Linked DNA regions of Danio rerio. The protein of the gene in region 1 purifies or fractionates together with the protein of each later gene. This does not show direct contact. Links are inferred from orthologs where the notes say so. Each region holds a gene or a part of one and is shown on either strand. Other genes may lie near its edges.

Region 1 (3,841 bases):
TTGTTGGTTTACAAAAAAAATCAAACATAATCCTGTTGCACTACTACACATGATTTTGGTTTTATTTAAAATAAACAAAACAAGAATTCATGTTAAATGAAAATCTGAAATATTTTGTGGCATACTTCACAAAATAAAGATGATTTCAAGTGTTAACACTTAGATATTAGATGATAATACTAGCAGGTTTGGCATGCTGTCCCGGGAGAGTACCCTGAGCGTGGAAATAATTGAACCCAGGGCTCCCGCCTGTTCAATGAGCATGTGAGTGGGTACGAGATCAGGTAGTTCTCGAAAGCTCCCCCTTAGTATAGGAGGAAAAGTGGAGATGGGGTGGATGGGGGATTCTTCAAAAAATAAAGATGAGGGAGTAATGCATGTCAGTCTATTTTTTGTGAGTTTGAAATGATCCGATTGGCTTACAATTGATTACTGATGTGAGACCCGCTGCGATCAATAATATCACATGCTCCCCTCAAAATTAGTTTGTGAAATTTCACTTAGTATTCAAAAAATGTTTTATTTTGATTAAATAAATAATTAATAAATAAATAATTTTCAAATAAATTGGTCTTATACTTTATATTTTCATATTTTTTATAGTATATGTATTAATTCCGGTACTTTTACCATAAACCAACATATCTACCATTTGGTAGAGGTTAATATTTTAGAAATTATAGCATGTGTTGAAAAAAATGCCTATTGTTTGTTAACTAGCGACATTAGGAGTTAAGAAATGCAATCCAAAAAATTGCAATCCAAAAAATGCTTTCTTGGTGGGGCAGTTAAAGGCTAGTTCACCCAAAAATGTAAGTTCTGCCTTCATTTACTCATCATTCATCATTTACTGGTCAGGCATGTCATTCGACAAACTGTACGATTCCTTTATCGGTTAATCATAAATTTAGCCTTTTTATTTTGCTTTTGTGTTTCAGTTTTACATTTAAAACTTTGCTGAATACATATCCTTAGATATTTTCCAACTAGCTAAAGCCAAAATAGGAGTTTGTCTTTTCTCCCCGTGTTTGCGTAGGTTTCCCCTACAGTCCAAAGTCCTCCGCTATAGGTGAATTGAATAAGCTAAATTGGCCATAGTGTATGTGTGTGAATGAGAGTGTATGGGTGTTTCCCAGTGTTGTGTTGTGGCTGGAAGGGCATCCGCTGCATAAAACATATGCTGGATAAGTTGACGGTTGCCAAAAAAAAATGAATGAACGAATAAAAAAAAAAAAAAAAAAATATATATATATATATATATATATATATATATATATATATATATATATATATATATATATATATATATATATATATATTATTTAGAGTAAATAATGACTGAACTATTTTTTAACAATCTCTGAAATGTTTTTTTATTTTCCCTCTCCATTGATCATGTGTATTTTTGTGGTGTTCTGTAGGGAAGGGGCGTCAGTGCTGGTTCATGGCTCAGAGGGCACAGATTCAACACTTCAGGTGACGTCTCTTGCCCAGATCATTCTCGATCCCGCATGCAGAACTATCCGGGGATTTGAGGCGCTGATTGAGCGAGAGTGGTTACAGGTGAAACGGTTTTATTGATATATTTTTTGGATGTATATGAAACGAAATAATGCTATGAATAAAAAGCCAAAGCGGCCACTAGGTGGTGCTAGACGAGTAAGTCTTCATTCAGAAAGGAAACTGCTGTACAGTACGTTCTTTGGAGATTTACATTCAATTTAATTCAAGTTTATTTGTATAGCGCTTTTCACAATAATTGTTTCAAAGCAGCTTTACAAAAGGTGACATAATTACATTACATCAAAATCAGAAAAGTTAATATTGTTGGTTACTATAACTTTATTACCACTAGTATAGTGCCATTAGTTACTGAAAGCCCTTTACTTTTGTCTATTCTGCTGTGCTTTTATAGCTTAAAGCAAAGACAATACTGTATCTAAAATATAATTACTTTTGCTATTCTGGACAACAACAGCACTCAATTAAGTATTTATGAACTTGATACTTGTGATGTATCTTAAAACCAGAAATTCATACGGAGCACTTTTTGCCCCTAGTGTTTAACGTTTTATATCCATAATGCTATTCTTCTAGCTCCTGCCCAAAAAATTGTTCTTTCGCATCACATTTATCATGAGTCAACTATATTATGACTTGCTGGGGCAGGTGTGTTCATTTTTCCATAACCGATTAATCAAATTAGTATATTGAGTCAACAGCCATGATATCTAATTTGTGTACTTCTTTACCATGCAAAAGCCAGTACATTTGTTCTTAAAATGAAATTTATATTTTCTTTCAACAAAAATGTATTAGATTTCTCGATTAAATTGTATCAAATTAATTGTAATAAGGTTACAGGAAATATATTTAGAAAATTACTAAAGGTTTACATTTCAAATAAATGCTTCTCTATTCCTGCTCTGTTTAGACATGATCCTGAAAATGTATTACATCAACTTTAAATCACCGGAATAAATTAAATTTTGAGATAAATTTTAATTTATATTAAACCATTAGACTGTTTCACAATATTCCTGATGTTACTCCATATTATAAAAAAAAAAAATACAAATAAACCAGGGCTATTCAATTAGTTTGTCATGGGGGCCGGTTCATAAAAAGCATCCCAAACGAAGGGCCGGAGAGATATAACCTGCTATATGAGTGATGACACAACTGCATATAAGAGCCCATATGCTGTAATTGTGCTCATAAAGACACCCACGTTGGCTTTTTCTACATTAAAATGTGAATATATTGTATTTTAAAACAACATAATTTAAAAAAATATATTTTAAAATGATTTTTTATAATTTTTTTTTTAATAAACATTCAAATGTTGCATTTCAGAGCACAACAAAAGCAGTGCATTCTTGAAGTATGGCTTTTTCTACATTCAGACACATTCATATGTTATGTTTTGAACTGCATAACAATTAGGGATGCAACAATTATAGATTTTGGTTGATAATTATAGTCTGAAGAATAATCATGGTTTCACCGTTATCACATCTAATGTAAATTCAAGTTTTATATTAGGTAAGTAGCCATTTAGATGAACTGTTGTTGCCATCTGCGTTCATACATACATAATCATTTTAATAATAATTCGTCTAACATATCTTTTTTTTACACTGCACTGAAAGGCACGCACAACTCTCACCGTGAGATGTTTTCTACTGCGTGCGCCCGGAAAGACGCGAGCGCGTTGCTCCGATTGTGCGCACATATTGTCATACTTACATTAGCAATAATAAAATAATAAACGTGATATGGGAACTTCCACTGCTATAGTTAATCGGGTGTGCGTGCATATTAGCCTCGGTGTACATAGCCTACTTGGAACTTTAAACTAGCCCACAGGTGACAACTTGTCATAACTTTTCCTTGCAACAGAAATGCGGCTTAGAGAAGCCTTTACGGTTCAATAACTGTGACGAATTAAAGAGCAGTTAATAGTGAAATCATCTAATTGTTGTATCCCTATTAACAATTACAGTGAGAGGCATTTTCTACAAAACATATCTAAATGTTTCCGGCTGTCCGCACCACTCGCGTGTGGTAACTCACGCTCTGCGCAGCCTCTGCAGCTCGCGCTGTAATGAACAGACAGACGCACGTCACTTCATAACTAAAGCGGCTGTTTTTCGACTGAACAAAATTTAATTTTGATGTCTTGGTCACACTATTTGGAAGGCCGGAACAAACTGCCTCGGGGGCCGGGTTTGGCCCATGGGCCGCCAATTGAATAGCGATGAAATAAACCTTTGCATGGTAATGCGTGGTCATCAAAATTTTACTTTTTTAAAATTATGTTCAATGTCTGAGAGACATT
Region 2 (3,226 bases), on another chromosome or scaffold:
CCTCTACTGGCACTCTGATGTTGATGCCTGTTTTTCTGTCCTTCCCATTTTTAAAATTTCCATTCATAAGTGTTTTGAGTTTTTCATTTGTTTGTTCTCGCCCTGTAGGAAAAAGTTTTCTGTTTGCTTCAATGGAGATGAGATGGTCATGACCTTTGTTAAGTTTGCTTGTTTCAGTATGCCTTTTACAGCTGTTCTCTTTTAATTTGTCTTTTAATTTATTAATTTTAAAGGATGAATTGTCCCCTCTGGATTGTTACACCCATTCATTTTGTTAGAGAGAGGTGAAAGCATTACACAGGAGAACTCTGCATTATATGAAACCAAGACATCCCATGAGAACCATGTGTACCTAAAATAACCAGAATGAGTATTTAGATGTTATATACCACCCAATGAGACCACTGCTCAGAACTTGAACGACTAAATAAGGCCAACTGAAATGTCCGATTCTTTCTAAATATTTTTTGTTGTCTTTATTCTAAAACCAAAAAGGGGTTCTGTAAATATTTTTTTTTGTGTGAAATGTGAGCACTCTTAAAGGGCAAGTGTGATTTTGAATATTTAATGAGTAGTTTAGAAATCTTGTTTTATAATTTAGTACATTTTCTCTCTGTGCCTGAGTGTGCAAGAATGTTGCAATGAGAATGTGTGGAAACGTTTCCCTCTGCTGTTTTCTTAATGAATTTAAACTGACTGGTATCTAAGTTTTACTGGTTGGAACTTATGAGGATTTAGTTGGCTGCTTAATTTGGCATACAATCTTGTAAAGAATTTTGAAGATTTTACTTTGAATGATATGTTAAAGGCTCAGAGCGGAGTAGTAGGGTCTTGAAGAGTCAATGAAATGGCCACCTGATGAAAATTAGCCCTGAACTGTAGGCTACAAATACTTTGTGAAATAGCAGTGGGATCACACAACCCACAAAAAAATATGTCTTTTGACTTCTGGAGTGATTGGACAGGAATGATTAACTTTTGCATCACTAAGAATAAAATATATCACTGCAATGTTGGTTCATTTTTTGCTCTGATAATCATTTTATTTGTACATATTTTCTAGAGAAAAACAAATAAGTAGTTTTGATTTACCTAAGTTTTGCTTACAGTATTTTATTTAACAAGATATATTTGCTCTAAACCTGCAGAGAGAGAACCAAATTAGAAAACAACGCTGTGTAATATGTCGCCAAATGTGACAGGAAGAGCGCCGCGCACGTCTGATCAGCGACTGACGAATGTACCATTATAAGTAACAACAAAAACTCCTAACACCCTATACGTTTCCAGCTTTTTAGTAATATATTTAAAATAATACGTCGACGTACTTTAGCTAATTAACAAAAAATTACACTTGGGTAGCTGCGAATATGAGTGAGATTTAGACAGCGCTCACCTATATTGCTACAGTAATGGTACGTTCCTGTTTTGAGTCGACGTTACAGACAGCAGCTCACGCTCATGTCAGTGCATGTGTTAACACCTGAACAAAAATGGCTAGGTTTCTGAACAGCAATATCAGGAAGTTCTTAACAACACAGATCAGGATGTCGTCCGATCAGGTAGATATTTATATGATATTTCGCCCAGTGACTTTCCGTAGCCTGCCAAAGACAAAGATGATTTGACTAATTCTAGTGCTATGTACTGTAACACGCAGTGTCACTCGCAATCTGTTCTCAAGTACTACGTTAGCTTTGACTTTGTCTTAATGTTATCATATGTTAGTTTTACGTTTTAAATACTAAGTTATCAAAATTTGTCAACACCGAACCGTTTTAACGCAATAAATAGATTTGAGGGTGCCCTTGTGTTGTGACCCTTTGTTTACATTCAGGAAAGTTCTGCAATCTTTGTCCTTCATCAGCAAGACTTGCTTTTACAGGATATATATATATATATATATATATATATATATATATATATATATATATATATATATATATATATATATATATATATATCCATATATACACGGTGCTTGTCAGCCTATCAGTCACTAATTACTAGTTGAGTAATAAATTGTTTTGTTTTGTCTTGTGCAACCTTCTCTCTCTCTTTCTCTCTCTGATAAAGTTAGGTGAACTGGGTAAAGGTGCTGGGAAAGGAGGTGGTGGTGGAGGTGCCGTGAGGCAGGCTGGAGGTGCATTTGGCAAGAAACAGGCCGCTGAGGAGGAGATGTACTTCAAGTGAGTGGTTTTGCTTGAGCTGATAATTATGTAATTGCTTATACTTGATATCTACTGGCCATTAGCTGAGTATTATTGAAAAAATAACTGAATGTAAAGCAACCTAAACCGTTACTTCATGACCTATTCTGTCATTGTATTTCCTTCACAGGAGAAAAGAGCAAGAACAGCTGTCTGCTCTGAGAAGACACCACCAGGAAGAGATTGACCATCACAAGAAGGAAATCGAGAGATTACAGCATGAGATCACCCGCCACGAGAGCAAAATCAAGAAACTCAAACATGATGACTGAGGCATTAAGACAGAAAATACAACACATGAATTGTGAAACTGCTGAATATTTGTAATTGCTTATTTACTAAACAGTGAACTCTGTGATTATACTATTATAAAAGCATGTTATAATACAGATATGGTTATATAACTGAAACAACACATTGTGTATTAACCCAGTGCATTTTCCCTCTTTTGACAATAAACAAGAAATTGTCTCGAATGTAAAAGTGTGTCTTGGTATCAATACGTTTGGTGAAAGCTAACTATTAGCTAAACTAACTAAAGCTAACTATTGGTTTGAGAGCTAAATGTATCTTAACTGTTACTTTCAGTCATATAAATAGGTTATGTCATCTGACCAGACAATTAAAGGTTCTGACACCAATGAATGACCCAATATTGTATAAATATGAGATATATTAAAATATGCCGTAATGCTGGGTTTCAGGATCAGATTGAGAAACACTGCTTTAGAAAATGTTCGAGACAACACTTCTTTATTATTATATTTTTAATATTTTAAAGGCGTTGTAGCTCATTGGAGCCCAGCTGATGGCAGTAGACATAAATAACAGGCATTACAAACGTCCTCTGAAGAACAGCTAATCCTAACGTCATTTCCGATGACGCGAAAGCTCCGCCCTCGCCCCTGTCTTTTACGCCAGGCGGCCCCGCGTGTCTTTCTTTTCCCACATCATGGCGGACCGATTCAATAAGGTGCGTTCGAGTGGCACAATTTACATTCTCATATCTCGCGTTT

Evidence for each region.
Region 2: the proteins of mtmr9 (region 1) and atp5if1b purify together in Homo sapiens (affinity purification with mass spectrometry; 5 studies listed by BioGRID and IntAct, with this or other methods). This does not show direct contact. The link is inferred for Danio rerio from reciprocal best matches to the Homo sapiens genes MTMR9 and ATP5IF1.

Annotation. Positions count from the first base shown.
Region 1 is NC_133195.1:21,422,138-21,425,978, forward strand, and holds part of mtmr9 (myotubularin-related protein 9), read left to right. Parts: intron 1-1,421; coding exon 1,422-1,563; intron 1,564-3,841. UniProt on the Homo sapiens protein: Acts as an adapter for myotubularin-related phosphatases. Increases lipid phosphatase MTMR6 catalytic activity, specifically towards phosphatidylinositol 3,5-bisphosphate and MTMR6 binding affinity for phosphorylated phosphatidylinositols.
Region 2 is NC_133192.1:25,996,640-25,999,865, forward strand, and holds atp5if1b (ATPase inhibitor B, mitochondrial), read left to right. Parts: upstream 1-1,427; 5' UTR 1,428-1,493; coding exon 1,494-1,562; intron 1,563-2,076; coding exon 2,077-2,189; intron 2,190-2,340; coding exon 2,341-2,482; 3' UTR 2,483-2,693; downstream 2,694-3,226.